6 linked regions of the Macaca mulatta genome follow. The main gene of each other region encodes a partner of the protein of the gene in region 3 in a complex. Links are inferred from orthologs where the notes say so. Each region holds a gene or a part of one and is shown on either strand. Other genes may lie near its edges.

Region 1 (4,150 bases), on a different chromosome or scaffold from region 3:
TAGTGCTCTAGTGACCGTTAAAATCTATCCTGGGCCAGCTAGCACGCACGGAAAAACTTGCCATTCGCCGCCCACCTCCCCCCCCCCACCCCCCGCTATTCTTATCAGAGAGAACATGGAAAATATTCTCCCTTCCTTGGCTACTCCCTCCTCCCCTTACTGAAGGATGGTGTGTGTACATCTGAATGGGGGTGGGATGCGGGGGGTGGAGTTTAGCTTTCGGTCCTCAACAAAAACATAATGGTTCCCAGTAGGCCAGAGCGGGGCAACCAAGGAGGCAGGATCCTGGCCTCTCTCGGATCTGCAGGAAGGGTGGGCTGTGCGGGTCCAGGGTGGGATGCCCGTTCTGGCCGGCGGTGCCTGCTGAGCCCCTCCTGATGTGACTTTATTAGACAAACCCCCACTCCCGCCAGGGGTAGACACACGAGTATCTGCTTTAGGAAGATTTCTGCAACACGACAGGGTGCAATTCAAAATCTGGGTTCTCCTTTCCTGAGCTCAGAAACCAATTTGTTCTGAGATAGGAGAAGGCTCTGTAGGCAGAAGACCTAAGAGATGGGAGGAGGCGCCTGGCGTCAGCGGGTCGCTTCTCAGCCGTGACCACGAGCGGCCAGCAGGTGTCAGTGCGTCCTCGCTTTGTCCTGGCGTTCGGCTCCTGGACCCCTCCCCACCTCTGTCTAAGGGGGCGCGGTCCAGACCCCCGGTCGCGCGTGTCCCGCAGACAGCTTCGTGGCTGGGAGGACACGTAGCCGCTTCTTCCCTAAGCCAAGGTCCGAAGTCTGGCCTGTGCCACTTACCCATAGGTGCTGTCCATTCCGCCCAGGGGTTCCATCCGAACCCGCGCCTTCCTCCCTCTCCAGCACCCCTTTCTCCCCAGCCGCAAGGAGCACCTGCGGACCAGGTCGGCTCTGGCCCGGAGCTGGGCTGCTCCAGATGTAACCCACACCGGAGGTTACTTCCCTCGATTTGGGCAGGGATTCCCCTCCACTTTTTCTTCCCTTTTCTTCCAAGATCCAGCTCCTTGGGGGCACTCACGGGTGCCCGTCGAGTTCTGCTCCGTCGGCCCGGAGCTGCATGGCCAACTCCTAGCAGGGGCCGCTCCCCCGCCCCCCCAACCACCGGGCTCCCTCTTTAAGCCTCTCGCTCAAGGTACGCGCCTCTCCAAAGGGCTGGTCCCGCATGAGGGCAACTCTCCCCGAGGTCCAGCGCTGGGCGCCGGCGCTAGACTGGCGGAGGGGTGGTGCGAGGGGCGGGGGAGGGTCGGCTTCCCACGTGGGGGCTGACGCTGGCTGCTCAGCAACGCCGGCTTGATCCTGGGGCTATAAAACGAGTCCACCGTGAGCGCAGCGGAGCAGTAGCAGCTGCGGCTCCGTGCAGACGCCCAGCAGCCGGCGTGCCGCCGCCCGGCAGCTCCAGCGCCTTCTTCCCCCAACCTTGCGCTCCAAGCCCAACTCGCGCTGTCGTCGGACCCCGGCCCATCCAGTCGCGCTCGGCGCCCACCTGGCGGACGCCCAGGAGACACCCTGCCTTCGTCGCAGCTCCTGCAGAGCTGATCGTTCACCTACCCCGGCCCGCCTGAGGACGGGGGTGCCTTCATGCGGTGCCCACACTCCTCACCCCGCCGCCGCCGCCGCCCCCGAGCTCCGCACAGTGCGCCCCAGCCTCAGCAGGGCGCACAACTTTGGAAGTCTCGCGGCGCTCCGAGAGGCGGCAGGGTCCGCGCCCCAGCCCCGGGCCGGGCCCGGCCAGAAGCGCAGCGTCTGGGGGAAGCCAGAGAGTCGGTAATCGCTTCGGGGATATAAGGAGACAGACATAGGACCCCAAGCTCGCATCAGCACCCCTCGGCTGCCTCCCGGGGTGGGGGCGGGCCCCGCACACGGTAAGACCTCTTGCTTTCGCTCAGGCTCAAGAGTCAAGATATAGATATCGATATGTATATATATATTTAATTTCCTGTCATCCTTCCAAGTTATCAGGCCACCGATGATTTTTGTTCTCCCTTCTTGAAGAATAAATCTCTTTACCCATCGGCTCTCCCTACTCTCTCCCGCCGCTTAGAAATAAAACTTGGCTGTGTTAGGAGCTCGGAGCGAGAAGGCGCCCACCGAGAGCGTCCGAAGCGCGAGCCAGGCGCAGTTCGCGGGACCCGGGCCATGGGCCGCTAGCGGTCCCCCAGCTCGGGCCCGGCCTCCCTGCGGCCCCCTCCCTATGTGAGCTGCAGCCAGGCGAGCGGGGCGCCGGAGGAAGAGGAGGACCCACGGGCGCCGGGCCGGAAGGCAGCTGGCAGCAGGCCCAGGCGAGCGGGCGCCCGCGTTCATGTTCCGCCAGGAGCAGCCGCTGGCCGAGGGCAGCTTTGCGCCCATGGGCTCCCTGCAGCCGGACGCGGGCAATGCGAGCTGGAACGGGACCGAGGCGCCGGGGGGCGGCGCCCGGGCCACCCCTTACTCCCTGCAGGTGACGCTGACGCTGGTGTGCCTGGCCGGCCTGCTCATGCTGCTCACCGTGTTCGGCAACGTGCTCGTCATCATCGCGGTGTTCACGAGCCGCGCGCTCAAGGCGCCCCAAAACCTCTTCCTGGTGTCTCTGGCCTCGGCCGACATCCTGGTGGCCACGCTTGTCATCCCTTTCTCGCTGGCCAACGAGGTCATGGGCTACTGGTACTTTGGCAAGGCTTGGTGCGAGATCTACCTGGCGCTCGACGTGCTCTTCTGCACGTCGTCCATCGTGCACCTGTGCGCCATCAGCCTGGACCGCTACTGGTCCATCACACAGGCCATCGAGTACAATCTGAAGCGCACGCCGCGCCGCATCAAGGCCATCATCATCACCGTGTGGGTCATCTCGGCCGTCATCTCCTTCCCGCCGCTCATCTCCTTCGAGAAGAAGCGCGGCCACGGCGGCCCGCAGCCGGCCGAGCCGCGCTGCGAGATCAACGACCAGAAGTGGTACGTCATCTCGTCGTGCATCGGCTCCTTCTTCGCTCCCTGCCTCATCATGATCCTGGTCTACGTGCGCATCTACCAGATCGCCAAGCGTCGCACCCGCGTGCCACCTAGCCGCCGGGGTCCGGACGCCGCCGCCGTGCCGCAGGGGGGCGCCGAGCGCAGGCCCAACGGTCTGGGCCCAGAGCGCGGCGCGGGCCCGGGGGGCGCGGAGGCCGAGCCGCTGCCCACCCAGCTCAACGGCGCCCCTGGCGAGCCCGCGCCGGCCGGGCCGCGCGACGCCGACGCGCTGGACCTGGAGGAGAGCTCGTCGTCCGACCACGCCGAGCGGCCTCCCGGGCCCCGCAGACCCGAGCGCGGCCTCCGGGGCAAGGGCAAGGCCCGGGCGAGCCAGGTGAAGCCGGGGGACAGCCTGCCACGGCGCGGGCTGGGGGAGACCGGGATCGGGACGGCTGCGGCAGGGCCGGGGGTGGAGCGCGCTGGGGCCGCCAAGGCGTCGCGCTGGCGCGGGCGGCAGAACCGCGAGAAACGCTTCACGTTCGTGCTGGCCGTGGTCATCGGAGTGTTCGTGGTGTGCTGGTTCCCCTTCTTCTTCACCTACACGCTCACAGCCGTCGGGTGCTCAGTGCCGCGCACGCTCTTCAAGTTCTTCTTCTGGTTCGGCTACTGCAACAGCTCGCTGAACCCGGTCATCTACACCATCTTCAACCACGACTTCCGCCGCGCCTTCAAGAAGATCCTCTGCCGCGGGGACAGGAAGCGGATCGTGTGAGGTTTCCGCCGGCGCCCGCGTAGACTCACGCCGACTGCAGGCAGCAAGGCACCAAGGAGTGCTCAGCCCCAGGGCACTCAGAAACCCGGGCCCTGTCTGCTCTGCGTTTCCTCCTCTGGGGTGGCTCTGCAGCCTCCTGCGGGCGGGCGTCTGCTGCTCCTACAAGGGAAGCGTTCTTGCTGCCAGACCCACGCATCCCCAGTTGTTGGTTTGGCCACTCTTGACCTGGAGCCATCTTCCCGGTGGGCCACCCCAATCAGTATTGCTTCCTGAAGGTATTTTCACCTTCTTCCCCTGGTATAGCCCTCACAGCTCTTCAGAGCAAGCACTGGACTACAAGGACATGGCTCACAAAAGGTTAATGGATGGTTACCTAGAGGATTACCTAGCCCTGGCTAATTCCCCTTCCATCCCCAGCTCTCTCTCTCTCTTTTTT
Region 2 (4,291 bases), on a different chromosome or scaffold from region 3:
CCTAGTCTCCCATCAGTAACTGGCAGAGCCAGTTAACAGTTAACGGGGCCTTCCTGCAGCTGGGTCTTCAGCAGGTCACCTGGCAGAGCCATGACTTGAAACCTGAAAATCTAACTCTAGACCCTGTACTCTTAACCTCACATGCAGCCTCTTAATAGCACTCCCAATACCTTTGTGGGAAGGTGAGGAGAGAGGCAGGGTATTTATTACCTTTATCTCAGAGATAGACACTAAGGTAGCAACTACCTAAACCCAGGATCGTCCACAGGTATAGCTGTGACTGGATTACTAACCTTTGCGGGTGTGTGTGGGGCAGGGGAGAGGGGGGAGCGGGGGAGAGGGGGGAGCGGGGGAGAGGGGGGAGCGGGGAGGGTGCAATGGAAAAAGAATGGTAAATTCACATTTGAATTTTGGAGCCAACACCTACTAGCTGCACATCTTTGAGCAAGTTATTTAATATGAGTCTTAGTTATGTGACTGGCACATAGTAGGTGTTCAATAAAATACTCATCCCTATCCCATTTGTCTGTCATCTCCAACTGTGATCTTGAGCAAGTTTATTTAGCTTTCTGATTCTCGGTTTCTTCAACTATAAAATGGAGATGATGATGAAGAAGAAGATCTTACTTAGCCCCATGTCCATCGGGGTAGGAGCCTCGTAAAGGGTACTTATCAGTATAATTAGAAACTGTTGGCCGGGCGCGGTGGCTCAAGCCTGTAATCCCAGCACTTTGGGAGGCCGAGACGGGCGGATCACGAGGTCAGGAGATCGAGACCATCCTGGCTAACACGGTGAAACCCCATCTCTACTAAAAAATATAAAAAACTAGCCGGGCGAGGTGGCGGGCGCCTGTAGTCCCAGCTACTCGGGAGACTGAGGCAGGAGAATGGCGTGAACCCGGGAGGCGGAGCTTACAGTGAGCTGAGATCCGGCCACTGCACTCCAGCCTGGGCGACAGAGCGAGACTCCGTCTCAAAAAAAAAAAAAAAAAAAAAAAAAAGAAACTGTTTTGCCAGGTTTGCACCCTGTGCGCCTGTCCTTCAGGACCCAGCAGGCTCAGACTTACCTGCGATCAAAGCCCTGTGTGCCTCTCAGACCCACCAGCCCCGTGGAATCTCTTGCAACACGACACCGCTGCGTGAGTTTTCTGTTGTTACTAGAGGTCAGCAGGTATTTTTCCCTAGGAAACTGGGTGTGCACGTCTCATCCCCGTGCCAATTCTCTTGCCGCTTCTCCTTCCACACGCGGCGTCCTCCGGAGGGAGGGTGCAGCTCCGCGTGCTCCAGCTGCGGCGAAAGTTGCGCCCGGCCCAGTCTGGCTGTGGGCCCCGCCTCCGCCTTCTCAGTGTCCAGCCCCGCCCTCCGATTGGTCAGCAGTGCCCAGCCCCGTTCCTCCGAGGGGATTAAAGCAGCGGCCGCGAAGTCTGGGTGCTTGCAGGCTGCTAAAGCCAACCCCAGTTGATTAGCACCTGCTACCGCGCTTTGCTTCCTAGCGCTCGCGGAGCCTCCTGGAGCCTGCCACCATCCTGCCGGCTACGTGCTGCCCCGCGCCCGCAGCCATGTGCCGTACCCTGGCCGCCTTCCCCACCACCTGCCTGGAGAGGTAAGGGGAGCTTGTCCAACTGCTTGCGGGAAGTCCCACCAACTCTTAGGGAGTGGAGCGGCAGGCCTGGGGACCTGGGTGGGCGCGGGGATGGGGCGCTGGAGGCTTAAGTAGAGAGGTAGAGGCGAACCTGATGCCACGTGCTTAGATTCCAGGAGCAGGGAGAAAGCAAGGGGAAGGGAAGCAAGGGCCCGCTGCTTGCTGCCATCCCCATCCTCTGACAAACTGCAGTCGTGCTCAGGTGACCTGCTGAAGACCTGGCTGCAGGAAGGCCACGTTGACATTTCCAGGCAGAACTGAGCCTGCCTATTGCTTAAGCACTTGTTTTTCATTCCTCAGACCAGAGCTAGGGGCATTGCCTCCTCTGCCCCTGGAAGGCAGGGAGATTTTTTTTTTTTTTTTTTTTTTTTTGTGGGGTGTGGTGGGGCAGGGGGATCCCACTGTTGAGGGTGTGTCCATATTCCAGAGAGCAACTCAACAGCTTCCAGTCGTTACTGGCTGGGAAGGAAAACGTAAAGATGAAGGCAGGAATCAGTTTCCCACAGTTCAGAAATACTCCTGAAAAGAATGCTGAGTTCTTTTCTGAATCAACAGGCACGAAGAGAGATCAGTGTGACTTTAGGGAAAAGCCCATATATGAGCGTGTGTATTACCCAGAAAGTGTAAGGTCTACCACGGCATAGCTCAAACATTGCTTTTGTTGCTTTGGGGTTGATGATACTGATAAGCACAATTTGGGTCCTGGGAACAGCCAAGAGTTTCCAGGAACTCTTGAGGCTAAACTTTGGGTGGCACCACCCAGAGCTCTTCTGGGACACATAAACCTCTCCACACTGGCTGAGCAAATGAGAATCCTTTCATGTTCCTGATTTGTTTTTCAGAGCCAAAGAGTTCAAGACACGTCTGGGGATCTTTCTTCACAAATCAGAGCTGGGCTGTGATACTGGGAGTAGTGGCAAGTTCGAGTGGGGCAGTAAACACGGCAAAGAGAAGTAAGTGTTGCTGACCAGCTCAGGGCTCCGAGAGGGAAGGGAGCGGGAAGGAGGGAAATATAAGGAGAAGCCAGGACACACTAAGTGGATCTTGGCAACGCCTCCCTAGAGATTTTAGTGAGACTTGTTGCTGGTCTGTTATGACTACTTGGCTCATGGGTGAGTGGGTAGGTGGCTCCAGGGCTCCAAGTCTATCCACGGATGAGGGCACACAGGGCATGAATGCCTAGTTAACCAGACTCTCCCACCTGGGGTTTCATTGCACATGCATCCAGGGCTAGGACAGAGTCCAAGGCCACTTGAGGTTTTTATTAATGACTCTAGCATGCACCTTGCCTAGAAACCCTTTCATATTGGCTATCAACTGTACCAAACTCTGGAGTTATGTGTAGATGTAATCTCTATTTATGAGGCCCTTATGTCCTTGGGAAGGTGTACAAAACAAATCTTTGAGAGTCAGGGGAATTGAAATAATTTTTGGACAGAGAAGAGACAGGCTTAGAGATATTAACTGAAGACTAAAGGAGTCCCTGGCTTTGATTTCTGGTTGCCGAATTGTCCTCTAGAAAACATTACTGCTTACCCTAAGTCCAACTAGGAGTTTGAGGTGTCAGCTTCAACAATCACCAAGGCAAGCCTTTCTGTGAATTTTACGCAATTTTCCATCAGAGTTCTGGCTAGAATTTGTACTATGCTTTGGTTTGTTGATTTTTTTTTCTTACTCTTTTTTTTTCTTTTTGTCTTTTAGTAGAAACTTCTCAGAAGATGTGCTGGGGTGGAGAGAGTCGTTCGACCTGCTGCTGAGCAGTAAAAGTGAGTAGGAGCCTTTTGTGTCTGTCTCTGGGTGGCACGTGTATACTCATGTGCTTTGGAACCAGCTCCAGGACTGCTGAGAGCCTGGGCAGAATAATAGTAGTAGTAATAATAATAATAATGATCCCCTAGTGTGCCAGCCTCTATTCAACACACAAAGGCAGGTCCTTGTTCAAGAAAATTATGTTCTAAAAATAGAGCCATTACGTGCAATTGCTTTCCTTTCTTCTTGTATTCCCTGCTGTCCCTCTGGCTGACCTGTTTCCGCCTCTTTCCTGTAACCCCAGATGGAGTGGCTGCTTTCCACGCTTTCCTCAAGACGGAGTTCAGTGAGGAGAACCTGGAGTTCTGGCTGGCCTGTGAGGAGTTCAAGAAGATCCAATCAGCTACCAAGCGGGCCTCCAGGGCACACCGGATCTTTGAGGAGTTCATCTGCAGCGAGGCCCCTAAAGAGGTTAGAGCCCCCATATGCCCAGTGAATCCTCACGACCCTGCCTGCTCCTTCCCCTCTGAGAGTGAGGGCTAGTGGGGAGGAAAGGCTAGGTGTAGAAGTAGAAGGGCCTTACTTGGCACAGGGGTGAATGGGCTTCTGTGACCAGACACTAGAAAAGCCGGGCTCAGTGCCACTCCTGGGTGCTTAACCCTATGACTCATGATGGGGCAGGATGGATTGGCAGGTTTTTCGGCTTCTATCCATACCCATCTTTATAAATCCATCCCTTTTTAGAGGCTCAAAACACTTACCAACTGGGGAGACAAGGTCAGCACAGGGACCTTATATAACCTGGCTCAGTCCCCAGGCTGACCTGCCTGAGGCCTGCAGGTCTGTAGTCTGTGATTTTTTTGTCTACCTTCCCTCCCGGCCACTATGCATGGCAGCTGC
Region 3 (3,500 bases):
AACATCAAGCAGACAGGAAATGTACAGTGCCTTTAGCAGGAGGAGCTGAAGAGGCACAGGACAACGGGTGTGGGCAGAGGAGGGGTGAAAGGCCCAATGACACAGCTCCTGCCACTCGCTCTTGAGGTGGGGGAGGTTCTGAGGACGGAGTGTGTCCACCAAATCCTTTGTACACTAAGTACTACTCCCGTGTGCAAGGTGGCAGTGACAGTGCCGTCCTGGGATGTCTCCAGGAGCCTTCTTGTCTTCAAAGACACCACACGCCTGATTGTGATGTTACATGCATGTGATTGTAGTCTTTGAAAACAGGTGACCCTACTTTGATATTCAGGATGAGGGGAAGGGGAAGAATCCTGTTAATTATGCAGTACTTTTTCTGTAATTTCAAGAAGGCTCAGCCTACACTTGTGCACCTTAAGCAAATTCAGCTACACCCACTCAGACAAGGAGGAAGGGAGGAGGCAGAGGAGGAGAGCGCTCCAAGCTCATTACCTGTCCTTTCCCATTCCCATGTTTCACCTGACCTAGGGGCTTCCCCTGCCCCCAGAGAAAGGTAGGCCCCAGGTCACAAACAAATCAAGAAAAATTAATAAAATGGCCTTTGACTTTGAGCAATCCAAGGACCAAAGTTCTTGAGATTTAATGTTGGCATGAGATATTTTTGCCATCTGCACTCACTTGGCAACCAGCCCCTCCCCTCCCCCAGTCCTGAGGCACAGCCCCCCCTGTGGCCCATCCCTCAGCGAACCAGAATTCTCCACCGAAACACCTGCTCCTCCACATAGCCCAGTTCTAAGGACTCCATTCCAGCCTGCGTAAGAAGTGTAGAAAATTACAACTCAGCAAAGAACATTGATTTTTTTTTCTCCCCCAAACAAAATAACTGTGTTTTCAGGATGAAAGCAGAGCTGCTGGTTGAGTTGGAGGGTGGAGAACAGAGCCCAGCCCACTCTCCCTTCCTGCCCCGGAAAACTCTGGGGCCCCATGGGCTGTGGCTTGGAGCTCTTGCTTTAGGATGTCCATGTGGTAGAAGGCCCCACAGGCCCCATGAACCCCGACTGTGCATGCTCAGGTCGTGGCCCTGCCCAGAGCAGGCTGTGAGCTGAGCCGTGGTCCTGCCACCCTGGCTGGGCCCTCATCACAGTCCCAGCCAGGGGAGAGCCCTTGGCTGGCAGGGGTCTTCTGTCCCCACCGAAGTCTCAAAGCCCACCATCCACCTCTCCTTACAGGCTGACGCCAAGATGGTGTGCGACGTGGTGAGTCGGATGGAAGACACCGAGCCCTTCTCTGCAGAGCTGCTTTCTGCCATGATGCGGCTCTGGGGCGACTCAGGAATCCAAGAGTGCTTCAACCGGTCCCGGGAGTATCAGCTCAACGACTCTGCCAAATAGTGAGTGTCCCGGCGGGCGCACAGTCTGGAGCCGGGCAGTGATGCGGGAGTGGAAGGGGACTGGCGATGGGGATTGGCAGAGCAAGGATTCTCGTCTGAGGTCATGCCTGCCGGGAGATGTTCTACTACAGGTGGGGGGTGTCAGGAAGGAATGAGAAGGGGCCTCTCTTCCTGCCCCCCCTAGGAGAAGGAAGAGGCCAGAGAAGGCAGAGGACACAAGAGACAACCACACAGTGGAAATTCCCAGAGGGCGGGACCTTGTCACTGGCCTGTCCCAAGGAGTGCCTGGCATTGCAAAAAGACGGCTTTCAAGTGTAGCAGCTTTGGTTTTTCATGGGGAGCCCCTGACCCCAGAAATACAAACCAAACCAACAGCCATACAGGGAGAAAATAAATGGTGCCATTTTGTTTTATTTTAGAGAAAATAATAAGTTTTCCATTCCCTTATCTTCAAAATTAAAAATAAGGGCCAGGCGCGGTGGCTCAAGCCTGTAATCCCAGCACTTTGGGAGGCCAAGACAGGTGGATCACGAGGTCAGGAGATAGAAACCATCCTGGCTAACACGGTGAAACCCTGTCTCTACTAAAAATACAAAAAACTAGCCGGGCGAGGTGGCAGGCGCCTGTAGTCCCAGCTACTCGGGAGGCTGAGGCAGGAGAATGGCGTAAACCCGGGAGGCAGAGCTTGCAGTGAGCTGAGATCTGGCCACTTCACTCCAGCCTGGGCGACAGAGTGAGACTCCGTCTCAGATAAATAAATAAATAAATAAATAAATAAATAAGGAATATGTAGGTCTAATTAATATAATAAATGTATACTTTAATACTCTGTTATAACTAAATAAGGGAGATGACAGGAGGGCAGGAGGATGGAAGGAGGAAAGGAAGGGGACAGAGGGAGAAAGAAGAGGAGAGAAGAGAAGATGGAGAAGTGGGAAATGGTAAAAGCCGGAGCTGGTTAGAAGGTGCTCCCGGCTCTTCCCATGACCGCAGGTCACAGGTCCATTGGCTGCAGCTTTATCACTCTAGGCATCTCCAAGGAAATCCTCACTGCTTCCGTGCCCTTGGCCCTAGATTGGAGGCTCCAGAGCCCGGGGATGGTCAGTGTCGGTCAGGGACATGTCTTCTGTCATGGAGACACTGGGATTGCCCCCTTGGCTTTTGGGAAACACACCCCACTTTTGCAATTGCAATCTGGGACCCATACATTCAGTGGGGACTTTCTGCAAGGAGCCTCTGCGCTTTACCCCACTGGCTGGGAAGACTCTGACATGATCCAGTCCAGCCATTTTCACCAGGTCTTCTCAGCTGGGGCCAATTTGCCTCCAGGGGACATTCAGCAACATCTGGGGACATTTTTGATGGCTGCAGCTAGAGTGGTTCTCCCGGCAGCTAAAGTGGTGCTCCCGGCAGCTAGAGTGGTGCTCCCAGCATCTAGCAGGTAGAGGCCAGAGATGCAGTTAAACATCCCACAGTGTGCAGGATGGCCCCCACAACAAAGAGTTGCATGGCCCCAGACATCCATAGTGCCAAGATTAAGAAACCCGGATCTACGCAGTGCCAACAGACAATGGCTGAGGCCAATGTTCACTCCTGGACATTTCCACAGGCCACATGGCAGCCAACAGACTAGGGGCTTGAGCAAGACCAGGAGCAGCTTCCCATTTCTGCACACCTAGATTGACCACAGGGCAAATGCCAAAGTCCTGTGAGTTCCAGGTGATGACTACCTAGGTCCCTGGGCCTGATAAGCTCCCAGGGACACCCTGGGGGTCAGGGCAGTGAGCCCAGAAGCTCAGTGTCCACCATTCCGTATGCTCAAATCACAGACCAGAGCCAGGCAGGAGAGAGTGACTTTCAGCTGCCCTCCTCCCTTCTCCCACTCCTTGTCCCTGCCCTGCCTCCTCCCCAAGAGTCAGCAAGACCCTCAGGGGCCTTTAGGGCCAGCTGGCCCAAATCTGCCTTCTAGTGGCTCACCAAATCCTGCTCTCCACTTACATTTTTACTCATTTCACTAATTATAACATGAATCCATTACAAAAAAAAAAAAAATTTAAACAAATGCAGAGGCATATAAAATGAGAAGCAATCTTCTTCCTACTCCCCTCAC
Region 4 (4,166 bases), on a different chromosome or scaffold from region 3:
GGCCGAGACGGGTGGATCACGAGGTCAGGAGATCGAGACCATCCTGGCTAACACGGTGAAACCCCGTCTCTACTAAAAAATACAAAAAACTAGCCGGGCGAGGTGGCGGGCGCCTGTAGTCCCAGCTACTCGGGAGGCTGAGGCAGGAGAATGGCGTGAACCCGGGAGGCGGAGCTTGCAGTGAGCTGAGATCCGGCCATTGCACTCCAGTCTGGGCGACAGAGCGAGACTCCGTCTCAAAAAAAAAAAAAAAAAAAAAAGATAAGGAGAGGGTGGCCAGGCACGGTGGCTCATGACTGTAATCCCAGCACTTTCGGAAGCCGAGGCAGGAAGATTGCTTGAGGCCAGGAGTTTGAGACTGGCCTGGCCAGCAGGGTGAAACCCTGTCTCTACTAAAAATACAAAAATATAAAAATAAAAATACGAAAATTAGCCAGGCGTGGTGGCGGGCACCTGTAGTCCCAGCTACCTGGGAGGCTGAAGCAGGAGAATCACTTGAACCCAGGAGGTGGAGGTTGCAGTGAGCTGAGATCACACCACTGCACTCCAGCCTGGGCAACAGAGCAAGACACTGTCTTGAAAAAACAAAAAGATAAGGAGAGGACAGATCTCTGCAGCTATTTCACAGTAGAGACAGAAGCTGAGATCGGTTTTGGGGTTCCCTGCATCACGCTAGTCCTTACTTTGTTCCCTAAGCATCTGTGCTCTCAGACATCTGTAAACTGTTTCTGGAAGGATCCACCACAAACTGGCATCCTGTGGTTGCCTCTGGGTAGGGGAGGGGGCAATGAAAAGGAGTCAGAGGGCCAGGCACAGTGGCTCACACCTGTAATCCCAGCACTTTGGGAGACCAAGGTGGGTGGATCACCTGAGGTCAGGAGTTCAAGACCAGCCTGGCCAATACGGTGAAACTCCGTCTCTACTAAAAAGACAAAAAACCACCCAGGCGTGGTGGCGCATGCCTGTAATCCCAGCTACTTGGGAGGTTGAGGCAGGAGAATTGCTTGAACCCAGGAGGCGGAGGTTGCGGTGAGCCAAGATCGTGCCATTGCACTCCAGCCTGGGTGACAAGAGTAAAACTCCGTCTCAAAAAGAAAAGAAAAGAAAAGAAAAGGAGTCAGAGGCTCTGGGGTAGGCAGGGAGAATGAGTTTTCTTTTTTTTCTGTTAGTTTTTTGAGACGGAGTCTCACTCTGTTGCCAGACTGGAGTGCAGTGGTGCAATCTCAGCTCACTGCAACCTCCGCCTCCTGGGTTCAAGCGATTGTCATGTCTCAGCCTCCCAAGTAGCTGGGACTACAGGCGCCCACTAACACGCCCAGCTAATTTTTGTATTTTTAGTAGAGACGGAGTTTCACCATGTTGGCTAGGATGGTTTCAATCTCCTGACCTCGTGATCCGCATGCCTTGGCCTCCCAAAGTGCTGGGATTACAGGCATGAGCCACCGCATCCGGCTGAGAATGAGTTTTTACCAAGTGTCCTTTGGTACTTTGTAATATGTTTTGGAAAGAAAAAAGAAGAAGCAGAGAGTGCCATTTGCCCTGGTCTGATCTCAAGGGTGGAATGCAGGAATGAAGCAACATGAGTCCCCTCCCTAGTCCATCCAAATTGTCTTCCGTTTCCTCTTTGACACGGATGAAGCAAGGCAATGCCTGTGTTACAGCAGGTGCTGAGTCGCAGCTCTGCTGGCTCAGTGCCCAGGACGCCGGATGCAGGGATGACGGGGACCTTCACCTAGCCTGGGCTGCGTTCCTTCTGACACTCGCAGAATCTGTGGCATAACCTCATTCTGCCACCAACCACGGAGGGTCCCCGGCCATCTCTGCTCCTGCCTGGGCCTCGGTTTCCCTATCTCTATCATGTAGAACATCTGAAACGACCGGGTGCAATGGCCTCACGCCAGTAATCCCAGAGCTTTGGGAGGCCAAGGTGGGAGGATGGCTTGAGGCCAGGAGTTCGAGACCAGCCCTGACAACATAGCCAAGAACCCATCTCTACAAGAATAAAAAATTTTAAAATTAGCCGGACATAGTGGTGCATGCCTGTGGTCCCAGGTACTCAGAAGGCTAAAGTGGGAGGATCACTTGAGCCCGAGTTCAAGATTGCAGTGAGCTATGACGGTGCCACTGCACTCCAGCCTGGGCAACCATGCAAGATCCCAAGTCAAAAAAGAAAAGAACATCTATCTGCAAGAGCTTGTGAGTAACTTTACTATTCCTCCAAACTGGTTCTTTCCAGCCTCCCAACATTTTCTCTACCATTCCTACTGCCTGGAAGGCCTTCTCTAGATCTTTTCACTTGTGGAATTCTTTTTTTAAAAAAATACAGACAGGGTGTCACTATGTTGGCCAGGCTGGTCTTCAACTCCCGGCCTCAAGCAATCCTCCCACCTTGGCACAATCCCCAATGTGCTGTGATTACGGCGTGAGCCACCGTGCTCGGCTGCTTGTGGAATTCTTAGTCATCTTATGAGACCCAACTCAAGGGTCCCCTCCCCTGGGGAGTTTTCTCGGACCCCAGCCCCATGAGGTTGCTGTGGCTCCCACAACTTGACGATCTTATTCCCATGGCCACATCCCAGTCCTAGAGTGTTAGAGCCTGGGATGTGGGAGAGAGGGAAGGTGGGAGGTGGAAGACAGGGAGACAGAAGGAAAGGGAGAGACAGAGTCGATGGTGACAGTTGGGGAGAGAAAGGACCCAGGGGAGCAGAGATGGGAGGGACCCTGGGCAAAGCTTCCTGCTCCCATTCCCCTTCGAGACTCACCATGTTCTGGTCTCCTGGGCTCCCCGAGGATCGAAGGTCCCTCCTGCCCAAGGGCTGTGGTTTTTAAAGCCCCAAGGGAAGATGCAGGGAGGAAATGACCATCTTTCTCTCTGAGGCTCTCATTGGTCTGCACACTGGGCACTGCAGCCAGAGCTCCCTCTGCGGGGCACACACCCAGGGGACTCTAACCACCTCCTCCCAGGCAGAGAACGGGGGCCAGTGCTCGGAAAACCGAGGAAGTTCCTTTGTAGGCTCGGCCCCTCTTCTGGCCTTGGTTTCCCTAGTTGGGGCCCTCTCTCTCTCTCTCTCTCTCTGTCTCTCTGTCTCTCTCTCTCTCTCTCTCTTTGAGATGGAGTCTTGCTTGTTGCCCAGGCTAGAGGGCAGTGATACGATCTCAGCTCACTGCAACCTCTGCCTACCAGGTTCAAGCGATTCTCCTGCCTCAGCCTCCCGAGTAGCTGGGATTACAGGCCTGTGTCACCACCCCCGGCTAATTTTTTGTATTTTTAGTAAAAATGGGGTTTCACCATGTTGGCCAGGTTGGACTCGAACTCCTGAGCTCAGGCAATCACCCACCTCAACCTCCCAAAGTGCTAGAATTACCAGTGTGAGCCACCGCGCCCGGCCTGGAGCCATCTATCTCTTTCCTTCGAAGGCCCCAGCCTGTAATCCCAGCTACTCGGGAGGCTGAGGCAGGAGAATTGCTTGAACCTAGGAGGCAGAGGTTGCAGTGAGCCGAGATGATGCCATTGCACTCCAGCCTGGGCAACAGAGCAAGACTCTGTCTCAACAACAACAAAAAAAACCATCGTGACCAGCCTGGCCAACATGGTGAAACCTCATCTCTACTAAAAATACAAAAATTAGCCAGGAGTGGTGGCAGGTGCCTGTAATCTCAGCTACTCGGGAGGCTGAGGCAGAAGAATTGCTGGAACCTGGGAGGCGGAGATTGCAGTGAGCGGAGATCGCACCATTGCACTCCAGCCCAGGCTGACAACACCAAGACTCAATCTCAAAAAAAAGAAAAGGAAAGAAAAAAAAAGAAAAAGAAAAAATCTTCCTTCTAGGGTTACGAAGTTGGCAATAGAAGATGGCGCTATCCACCCCACACACCGCCCACCCACTCCACAAGCCACACTAGCCACACAAGCCACAACCACCTCCGTCTTGGAAATGGGGTCCACACTTCATCCTCTCCAGCTTCATTGTGGGTTCTCTAAGACCGTGGTCCCCAACCTTTTTGGCACCAAGGACCGGTTTTGTGGAAGACAATTTTTCTACAGGCCAAAGGTTGTGGGGGCTGATTTTGGAATGATTCAAGTGTATTACATTCGTGGGGTACTTTATTTCTATTATTGTTACATTGTAATACATAATGAAATAATTATACAATTCACCATAATG
Region 5 (4,068 bases), on a different chromosome or scaffold from region 3:
GAGCAGAGTTGCTGCTTCCCTCTCCTGGGGCTCAGCTCCCTCCCTGCCTGCTGTCTGATGTGTGTCTTACTGTTGGTGGGTCTCCAGCCTGGCTCTGGTGGCTGCTTCCCTGGCTTGTGGGTGTCTGTGTATCTGAGTGTGGGCTTGTCTGTCTGTCTGCCCTGAGTGTTTCAGGCGGAATCTGTCCTTGACCCGGTGTATTTGAGCGCATGTGTCTGGTAGTGGGGGCGCTCCCTCCTGCCACCTCTCCTCTCCTCCCCCATCACTTCCCACAGGCGCTGACACAGCCACCACCTGCGCCCTGAGCGCAGTGACCTCGTCTGTCCGCTGCAGTGGCGACTGCCCCTCTGTCCACGGGGGTCCGTGGCTGGGCTCCAAGCGGCTTGCTGCTCCCTCCTCAGCCTGAGGCTGCCGGAACCCGGGCTAGACGCGCTCCCCTCCGGCTGGGTCCGCGCGGCGCCTCATCTTCCCTTATGTAACTCCACATCTGCCTGCGCCTTGCAGGTCACCCTGGACCCTGCACTGGGCCCTGTCCACAGGGAGGCTGGCACCCCTAGTCCGTGCAAACGGGAGGTGGAGCGGACCCCTGGTCTGGGCACCGGCTTTCCAAGACCCCCTCCTCCCCATCCCTTCTCCAGACGTTCCTTCCGCCGGAGACCCACATTCCCAAAACATGCACCGAGGAAATGCCCCACAGGGCAAGTTCCCCGGAGCGCGGGTGCAGGCGTTTCTCCCACCCCCACCCCGGGTCCCCACAGGCGCCAGGGCTCCCCATGATGACTGGGTAGGGGTCCCCAGGGCCGAGGGCACGGGAAAGGCCGAGCAACCCAGACCCCGGCTCCGAGTGCGCGGGCTGGCTGACCGCAGGCGAGCCCCCAGACCCGGTCAAGTCCCGGCCGGGCTCCCAGCCAGCTGCCGTGAGCGCAGGGGCTGGGTTCCAGCTTGCCTGGCGGGCACGCGGCGCTGTCCGTGGTGCTGCCGGCGCCGGGCGGGGCGGGGGCGGGGCGGGGGCGGGGCGAGGGCGGCAGCCAATGGCGGGGGCGCTGCGCGGGGCGCGCGGGGCGGTGGGCTGGGCGCGGGGCGCACTCGGCTGCGCGTTGCGCTCCGAGTGCTCGGTCGCGCCGGCAGCGGCTCAGGCTCCGGCTTCTCTCCCGCTGCAGCAGCAGCGCTGCTGGCCCCACTAGGCTCTGATCTGGCCCCGGCCCCCTCGGCACCGCCCGCCCTGGCCCTGGCCCCAGCCCCCCGGACCATGCGCTGGGCGCCTCCCGGGGAACCCCACCCGGCCAAGGGCCCGCAAAGACGAGGCTCCCGGGCCGGGGCCCCTCCGGCCGCCCACCTCTCGACTGGCGCCCTGCCCCGCGTCCCGGAGCCGCGTGAGCCTGCGGGGCCATGGAGCGCGCGCCGCCCGACGGACCGCTGAACGCTTCGGGGGCGCTGGCGGGCGAGGCAGCGGCGGCGGGCGGGGCGCGCGGCTTCTCGGCAGCCTGGACCGCGGTGCTGGCCGCGCTCATGGCGCTGCTCATCGTGGCCACGGTGCTGGGCAACGCGCTGGTCATGCTCGCCTTCGTGGCCGACTCGAGCCTCCGCACTCAGAACAACTTCTTCCTGCTCAACCTTGCCATCTCCGACTTCCTCGTGGGTAAATCCCCAGCCCCCGGCCGCCGTGGGACCCAGGGGCGCCCAGCGTGGCCGGGCCAGCGGGGACTGGAGCACGGACCTGGGTGGCTCCCGCAGGCACACGCCCCACCAGGGGACCCGGCCTGGGAAGGGGGTGTCCGGAGCCCACGGTGTGGGGGGCACAGGCGAAGTTCCTTGCCACTCAGGCCTCGGGACAGGGGCTGGAGAGAGCTGTCCCTGGGAAGGGACACAGGCACTGGGCGAGGCGCAAGGCGCAAAGGCAGCGGGTGCAGCCCTGGTTCCTGCGCTGTAGCCAAACAAAGGCTGCTGCGGACTTAGGACGCGCGCGGAGGGCGCAGTGGGGAGGTTTAGAGAAGGTCTGGGGGAGGGGACATGGAAGGGGGATTTTTAGAGCTGTGTTGGGGGAGGGGACCGTGGGGAAGGTGGGGGTTGGGGTAGACGCTGGAAGGAGCGCGCTCTCACGTGTCCAGGCTCTGCTGCCGGCTGGGGGGGCGGGGCACGCGGAGGGGGCTGGAGTGCCAGACACCTGTTGGGGCTGTGAGGTGCGTCTCCCAGACGCTCCAAGCCCGCTTGGCAGTAGTAGTGGCGGCTGGCTGCTGGCGGCGGCAACCAAGTGCCCTTTCAGCCGGGAAAGCCTTTCCTGCTGTCTAAGCTGAGAGGGAGGGCTGCCCAACGCCAAGGTAGGGCTGGAGTCCAGCGGGGGGAGGGGAGAAGGAAATTGTCTTCTTTCCTCCTTTGAGGGCTGGGAGGGCTGGACAGAAGTCCAGGGAGTCCCGACTCCAGGCTCTTGGGGTCTTGTGGTGGCCAGAGTTCCCCATGCCGGATCGTCTCTCCTGCTCCCAGGCCCAGGGGACACCGGAGGTGCTGGGAGCTATGTGGGGGTGAAGGCTGGTGGCAGGGCAGAGTTTGTGGCTGACACCAGGTGGAGGGGGCGGTAAGATGAGGATGGCTGGTCCCAGAAAAGCAGCCCAGGTTCCGTGGTGTCTGTGCTTAGGTGGGTCTGTCCCCTGTCCCCTGGCTGCATGGTCCCACTGTGGCCCTACTCCCCACAGGCGCCTTCTGCATCCCACTGTATGTGCCCTATGTGCTGACCGGCCGCTGGACCTTCGGCCGGGGCCTCTGCAAGCTGTGGCTGGTGGTGGACTACCTGCTGTGCACCTCCTCCGCCTTCAACATCGTGCTCATCAGCTACGACCGCTTCCTGTCGGTCACCCGAGCCGTGAGTCCCGGGCTGCGGAGCCCCTGCTCACTCCTGAGGGACAGTCGGGACGCCCATGGGAGGCATCAGGGTGGGGACGGCTGCTTCTGAGTTGTGGGCAGAAGTGGGCTTGGTCCCACTGATTTTGCTGCGGACACATGGGCCACTCGATGGCCAGCTGCCCACTCCGGGCCATGGCTGCAGCCAGACTGTCCTGGCCCAGGCAGGAGGCAGGGAATCTGGATGCAGATGTTCCTGAAGGCAGGGCTGTCACTGCAGCCCCCGCCCTGGGGCAGGTCCACAGTCCCCAGAGTTACGGGAGGATCTGGGGCCAGAGGCCCTGGGTGACCACAGTCTCCAGAGTTAAGGGAGGATCTGGGGCCAGAGGCCCTGGGTGACATCCCTCACACATGCGTGTGTGTGCAAGCGTGCACACACACACAGGCCCCGGGAAGGCAGGCGGCAGATCCTGGCTCCACAGATTTCCCTTTGTGGGAGCGGCCACCTGAGTCAGGGACTCTGCCCCACCCGGGCTCCTGTATCAGGGCCATGCAGCCCATGGAGCCGCTGCTGAAGTCACTCCTTCCCCTTCTCATCTCCTTGGCAGCTCACCTCCACAGGGCTTTATGGGGCCTCTGCAGGACTGAGGGCAGGCTGTTTCGTTCTAGACTAGAAAGGCCAAGAGACAGGGTGCAAAGAGCATGCATTTGGGGTCCTCTTGAGCCCATCCCCCTGTGGTCTCTCCCTCCTTTCCTGGAGCCACCAGGCATGGGGCACAAGGAGAGCTGCCACGAAGGGTAAAGCGGCCAAGCAGAGAGCCTGGCATGGGGGTGCTCTGCCCACCTCTCATTAGCAATAGCTGTAAACATTGCTCCCGCTCTCACCAAGGTAAATGCCATCAGGCTTGTGGGGGAGGGTGGCAGGGTTCTCAGGTCCTCCTCCTCCAGCTGTCCTACCTGGGACCCCTCAATGGGATCCCTTGGCCCTCCTGCCCCCTGCCCCCACCAGCTGGTTGCTCTCTGCCCTGGGGAGGGCCCTGCCCTCCCTCCCTGTTCTGTCCCAGAGGCCCTGATGTCGATCTGGGATGCTTTGTTCTGTGGCGGGGCGGGGGATGTCTCCCAGCAGTGGGCCAGCTTGTGGCTTCATTCCTGCACTTCCAGCTCCCAGGGGTGCGAGCACCTGCGCAGGAGTGGGGCTGGACCTCCCACCCCAACCTCTGGAGATGGCTCGGG
Region 6 (4,004 bases), on a different chromosome or scaffold from region 3:
TGTCGGCTCTCTAGCTGGGAACCACCCAGGTTACAAAGATAACGTGACTGGCCCTGCTGTACCGAAACGGCTTAATTTCTTTCTGGCAAATCTACATTTACCGCAGTAAGATACTAAGCACGTTCTTTCACTTTAAAAATATTTTGTCATCGCTGCAGTTTATGGCCCTCAGATGAGTAATGCAAGGCAAAAATGATGTGAGGTTGAGTGGTGTGAACAGCCTTCTCCTTCAATGTCATCCACATCTATAGAGAAGCCCACACAGCCCTTTCCCTTCGCACTTCTCTCCTCTCTAGCAGGCCGCGGATAAGGGTGGGATTAGGCGGCCAATTTTACAAAACTCCAGGGAGCGGCGCCAGCCTCGATTTCCTGGGGTTATTCCAGGGACAGAGGTTTTCTCACGGACAGCCACCCTGGGGGGGAGGAGGAGGAGGAGGAGGAGGAGGAGGAGGAGGAGGACAGACACTGATGGGTGAGGGGGCCCGCGAACCCCTTTGCCTCCCCCCCGGCGCGCTCTGGAGCGCCCTGGAGAGCGCCCGGCTTCCCTCGCCCGCCCGGCCCGCAGCAGCTGGCAGCCCCGCCTTCAGCCAGCCGTGCAGGTCCGCACCCCGCGGAGGCGAGCGCGCGCGGGTTCCAGCCGGGAGGTGGGCGGCGACCCATCCCGCGAGAGTCCGTCCAGTCTCTGCTCGCGCACCGTGACTTCTAGGGGGCGCGGATTTCAGCCAGGCCGTCTTCGTCTCTCAGTTGAAGCCGAGAGGCCCCTGGTACCCGACTCTTTCCACCACCAGGAAGTCCCCCAAAAGAGCTTTCGCCCTGTGGACACCTCGGAATCCCTGGAAAAGCCGGGAGGGAGTCGCAGGCGCCAGCCCACTGGGGAGGTGGCGCGGGAGGCGCGGGGAGCCCTGTCTGCAGGAGCCTCACGGTGCGCTGCTGCGCGCTCGGCAGTGCGGGGAAGCGCCGCGGGAAGGAGCGGCTCTGAGCAACAGGTGCAGCCCGCAGCCGCTCCGGGAGCGAGAGAAAACGGCCCGCGAAGATCTGGAGCTGTAAGGCGGAGAGAAGGGTCTTTCCACCTGCGCGGCTGCAGCCGGCGGATCCTTCTTCCCAGGCTCCGTGGTCGCGCAGCGGGCGGAGGCGCCCGGGTAGGGGATCTAGAGCTCTCAAGACCACCGTCCCTTCCCGAGAAGGTCCAGCTCCGGGCTCCCGTCCCCGCCCTCTCTCAGAAGGTCGCGGCGCAAAGACGGTGCCTTCAGGCACGGCCACCGGATCCCCGCGCCCGCTGGCGCGCGCCTCAGGGGAAGCTCAGACTCCTAAACTCGCGCTCTCCGTGCTCTGCGCCGGGACTACCGACCACCCCCGGCGCCTACTTTCCTGCCAGGCACCCGCCCTCCCCGCGCGCCCCGCCGCTCGCCCGGGCAGCCCCGCGGGCCATGGAGCTGGCGGTCGGGAACCTCAGCGAGGGCAACGCGAGCTGGCCGGAGCCCCCAGCCCCGGAGCCCGGGCCGCTGTTCGGCATCGGCGTGGAGAACTTCGTCACGCTGGTGGTGTTCGGCCTGATCTTCGCGCTGGGCGTGCTGGGCAACAGCCTAGTGATCACTGTGCTGGCGCGCAGCAAGCCGGGCAAGCCGCGGAGCACCACCAACCTGTTCATCCTCAACCTGAGCATCGCCGACCTGGCCTACCTGCTCTTCTGCATCCCCTTCCAGGCCACGGTGTACGCGCTGCCCACCTGGGTGCTGGGCGCCTTCATCTGCAAGTTCATACACTACTTCTTCACCGTGTCCATGCTGGTCAGCATCTTCACCCTGGCTGCGATGTCAGTGGACCGCTATGTGGCCATCGTGCACTCGCGGCGCTCCTCCTCCCTCAGGGTGTCCCGCAACGCGCTGCTGGGCGTAAGCTGCATCTGGGCGCTGTCCATCGCCATGGCCTCGCCCGTGGCCTACCACCAGGGCCTCTTCCAGCCGCGCGCCAGCAACCAGACTTTCTGCTGGGAGCAGTGGCCTGACCCTCGCCACAAGAAGGCCTATGTGGTGTGCACCTTCGTCTTCGGCTACCTGCTGCCGCTCCTGCTCATCTGCTTCTGCTATGCAAAGGTGCGCGGCGGGCACCGGGCCGAGACGCGCGAGGGAGGGTGGGGGGCCCGGGGGTCCCAGTGTTCCGCGGCCCTGCCGGAGCCTTGGCGGCAGCCCGGCCCCAGTTGCCTCCACCCCGCCGGTGCTGGGGCGGATCTGTGCGGGGAGGCTCCCTGGCCGCTGCTGGAGCTTGCCATTGGCTCGCGCAAGAAAGTTACTTGGAGTCTGAGAGATGCTGGGGAAAGTTTGCAGTTCACTTCGCATGGTCTGGTAGAACAAGTTTCTCCTCCCCTCCCCTTCCTCGCCCCTGCGGCGCTTCAGAGCCCCCAGGTTGCCTGGGCGGTAGGCGGGCGCTGCCGCCTCCTTCCCGGTACCGCAAACCCCGCTCGGTTCCAGCAACTCTTCAACCAGATCAGCTGCGCGGGGAGGTTACCGCCTCGGCACTGTGAGACCCGAGGGGAGCGCGTGGTCACCAGAGCGCGAACCTTTTGCGAGGGTGACGGGTCCCCACCGCCCCCTCCCGGGCTCTCAGCTGGCCGTCGGGGGGCTCGCGGGGCGGCCCCTCTCCCCCGGGGTGCGCAGTTTGCCCTCGCTCCGAAGGCTTTGCGCACACCGGGCTCTGCGAAGCCACTGCTCCCGGGGACAGAGCTTTGAATTTTATTCTGAAGCTTAGCTTTATAAAACGGTGTTTCTTTACAGAGTCCTGACCGCAGGCTCCAGGAACTTGGAATGGAATGGACTCGAGCTTTCGGCTTCCCCATTTCAATCCTTTTTAGAAAGGTCTCCAGAACAGGGTGAAGTGGTTGAGGCGGCGGATCTTCACCCTAACTCTAGCAGAGGCACCGTCCACGCGTGTGGGAGATCGTTTTTCCCTTTGTACAGCCGGGCAGAGCTCAGAACTCACGTTCTTTTTCATTACGTCCACAAGTGTTTGAAGACTTTATACTGATCAAAACGTCTTCAGCCTTTGACACACGTGTTTCTATTTGCGTAAACAAGAGCTTATTTTAATAATCAGGTGATAGCGATTCACGGGGTAAACCCCAGTGTGCGCAGCCTCCTGGCTCCAGAGCGTGGCCATTTGAAATACAGCTCTGTTACCAGGTTCCCCTGACTTCACCTCGGTCTCATTCTGTTTCAATAAGGCTGTGACTATATGACCACAAATAACCTCACTAGGTAGAACAGCTATCACTTTTAATACTCAATTCACAAGGTATTTTTATCAACAGAAGTGTTTGCTATAAGCCACCTGTTTCCCCCCACCTGTTTCATCTATGTAGATCGTGTCGATTTTGAATAATAGTATTGCTGGATATTATCTGAACGGCTTGCACCAAAAGGTTAAATATAAAGAAATATAGTAGCACTTTGGGAGGCCGAGGCAAGTGGATCACCTGAGGTCAGGAATTTGAGACCAGCCTGATCAACAAGGTAAAACCCCGTCTCTACTAAAAATATAAAAATTAGCCGGATGTGGTGGTGGGCCCCTGTAGTCCCAGCTACTCCGGAGGCTGAGACTGGAGAATTGTTTGAACCCAGGTGACAGAGGGTGCAGTGAGCTGAAATCGTGCCACTGAACTCCAGTCTGGGTGACGATGGAGCGAGACTCCATCTCAAAACAACGACACCACCACCACCACCACCACCACCAATATAGTAGCAGTAAGGGAATTTGGAAAAGAACTCTAGCTTAGCTATTTGGGAAACGGCTGGTTTATTAATGTGGTCTTCTGCAAATGCTAAACAAAGGCCATCTTACCTAGCACAATTATCTGATATGTGCACCATCTCATTTAATTTACACAACTCTGGCTTGGAGCTATTTTATTATTTACCCGTATTTTATTACTTAAGGAAAAAGAGCTTTGGAAAGGAACACCTGACCGAAATTATGAAGCTGGTGAATGATTCAGGAAGGAAGGAAGGCTT

Evidence for each region.
Region 1: the proteins of GNAO1 (region 3) and ADRA2A are in contact, whole or in part, in a cryo-EM structure (PDB 7W6P), measured with the Homo sapiens proteins. The link is inferred for Macaca mulatta from reciprocal best matches to the Homo sapiens genes GNAO1 and ADRA2A. Residues at the interface, in NP_066268.1 of Homo sapiens: Ile28, Lys32, Lys193, Asn194, Leu195, Asp218, Phe336, Thr340, Asp341, Ile343, Ile344, Ala345, Asn347, Leu348, Gly350, Cys351, Gly352, Leu353, Tyr354; in NP_000672.3 of Homo sapiens: Arg77, Arg146, Ser149, Ile150, Ala153, Ile154, Asn157, Leu158, Arg160, Pro162, Ile234, Ala238, Arg241, Arg383, Arg386, Phe387, Val390, Leu391, Phe444, Asn445, His446.
Region 2: the proteins of GNAO1 (region 3) and RGS16 are in contact, whole or in part, in a crystal structure (PDB 3C7K), measured with the Mus musculus proteins. The link is inferred for Macaca mulatta from reciprocal best matches to the Homo sapiens genes GNAO1 and RGS16. Residues at the interface, in NP_034438.1 of Mus musculus: Glu64, Asp65, Gln68, Ser75, Arg86, Thr117, Val180, Lys181, Thr182, Thr183, Gly184, Ile185, Val186, Gln205, Arg206, Ser207, Glu208, Lys210, Lys211, His214, His236, Glu237, Asp238, Glu239; in NP_035397.2 of Mus musculus: Glu85, Phe86, Ser87, Glu89, Asn90, Glu124, Ala125, Pro126, Glu128, Val129, Asn130, Asp132, His133, Glu134, Leu161, Lys164, Asp165, Ser166, Arg169, Lys172.
Region 4: the proteins of GNAO1 (region 3) and C5AR1 are in contact, whole or in part, in a cryo-EM structure (PDB 8JZP), measured with the Homo sapiens proteins. The link is inferred for Macaca mulatta from reciprocal best matches to the Homo sapiens genes GNAO1 and C5AR1. Residues at the interface, in NP_066268.1 of Homo sapiens: Ala31, Lys32, Lys193, Asn194, Leu195, Glu318, Tyr320, Phe336, Thr340, Asp341, Ile343, Ile344, Ala345, Asn347, Leu348, Arg349, Gly350, Cys351, Gly352, Leu353, Tyr354; in NP_001727.2 of Homo sapiens: Asn71, Phe75, Arg134, Leu137, Val138, Pro141, Ile142, Gln145, Ile225, Thr229, Arg233, Ala234, Thr235, Arg236, Ser237, Lys239, Thr240, Val243, Val244, Ala303, Gln305, Phe307.
Region 5: the proteins of GNAO1 (region 3) and HRH3 are in contact, whole or in part, in a cryo-EM structure (PDB 8YN7), measured with the Homo sapiens proteins. The link is inferred for Macaca mulatta from reciprocal best matches to the Homo sapiens genes GNAO1 and HRH3. Residues at the interface, in NP_066268.1 of Homo sapiens: Ile28, Ala31, Lys32, Asp33, Val34, Lys193, Asn194, Leu195, Asn312, Pro315, Asn316, Lys317, Glu318, Ile319, Tyr320, Phe336, Thr340, Asp341, Ile343, Ile344, Ala345, Asn347, Leu348, Arg349, Gly350, Cys351, Gly352, Leu353, Tyr354; in NP_009163.2 of Homo sapiens: Asn69, Asp131, Arg132, Ser135, Val136, Ala139, Val140, Tyr142, Arg143, Ala144, Gly147, Ile221, Ile225, Arg228, Arg232, Thr345, Phe348, Arg349, Arg352, Val356, Leu360, Cys415, His416, His417.
Region 6: the proteins of GNAO1 (region 3) and GALR1 are in contact, whole or in part, in a cryo-EM structure (PDB 7XJJ), measured with the Homo sapiens proteins. The link is inferred for Macaca mulatta from reciprocal best matches to the Homo sapiens genes GNAO1 and GALR1. Residues at the interface, in NP_066268.1 of Homo sapiens: Ser264, Asn316, Glu318, Tyr320, Asp337, Asp341, Ile343, Ile344, Ala345, Asn347, Leu348, Arg349, Gly350, Cys351, Gly352, Leu353, Tyr354; in NP_001471.2 of Homo sapiens: Thr70, Arg133, Ala136, Ile137, Ser140, Arg141, His226, Leu227, Leu231, Asn233, Ser235, Lys236, Lys237, Ser238, Ala240, Ser241, Lys244, Thr245, Thr248, Leu306, Ser307, Glu308, Asn309.

Annotation. Positions count from the first base shown.
Region 1 is NC_133414.1:123,252,458-123,256,607, forward strand, and holds the start of ADRA2A (alpha-2A adrenergic receptor), read left to right. Parts: upstream 1-1,350; 5' UTR 1,351-2,316; coding exon 2,317-3,714; 3' UTR 3,715-4,150. UniProt on the Homo sapiens protein: Alpha-2 adrenergic receptors mediate the catecholamine-induced inhibition of adenylate cyclase through the action of G proteins.
Region 2 is NC_133406.1:40,066,430-40,070,720, reverse strand, and holds the start of RGS16 (regulator of G-protein signaling 16), read left to right. Parts: upstream 1-1,491; 5' UTR 1,492-1,559; coding exon 1,560-1,603; intron 1,604-2,484; coding exon 2,485-2,595; intron 2,596-3,343; coding exon 3,344-3,408; intron 3,409-3,695; coding exon 3,696-3,862; intron 3,863-4,291. UniProt on the Homo sapiens protein: Regulates G protein-coupled receptor signaling cascades. Inhibits signal transduction by increasing the GTPase activity of G protein alpha subunits, thereby driving them into their inactive GDP-bound form.
Region 3 is NC_133425.1:51,890,716-51,894,215, forward strand, and holds part of GNAO1 (guanine nucleotide-binding protein G(o) subunit alpha), read left to right. Parts: intron 1-135; coding exon of another isoform or gene 136-149; intron 150-1,229; coding exon 1,230-1,390; intron 1,391-3,500. UniProt on the Homo sapiens protein: Guanine nucleotide-binding proteins (G proteins) function as transducers downstream of G protein-coupled receptors (GPCRs) in numerous signaling cascades.
Region 4 is NC_133424.1:59,795,500-59,799,665, reverse strand, and holds the start of C5AR1 (C5a anaphylatoxin chemotactic receptor 1), read right to left. Parts: upstream 2,801-4,166; 5' UTR 2,766-2,800; coding exon 2,763-2,765; intron 1-2,762.
Region 5 is NC_133415.1:115,009,950-115,014,017, reverse strand, and holds the start of HRH3 (histamine H3 receptor), read left to right. Parts: upstream 1-1,268; 5' UTR 1,269-1,389; coding exon 1,390-1,639; intron 1,640-2,690; coding exon 2,691-2,857; intron 2,858-4,068. UniProt on the Homo sapiens protein: The H3 subclass of histamine receptors could mediate the histamine signals in CNS and peripheral nervous system. Signals through the inhibition of adenylate cyclase and displays high constitutive activity (spontaneous activity in the absence of agonist).
Region 6 is NC_133423.1:3,566,015-3,570,018, reverse strand, and holds the start of GALR1 (galanin receptor type 1), read left to right. Parts: upstream 1-1,204; 5' UTR 1,205-1,427; coding exon 1,428-2,093; intron 2,094-4,004. UniProt on the Homo sapiens protein: Receptor for the hormone galanin. The activity of this receptor is mediated by G proteins that inhibit adenylate cyclase activity.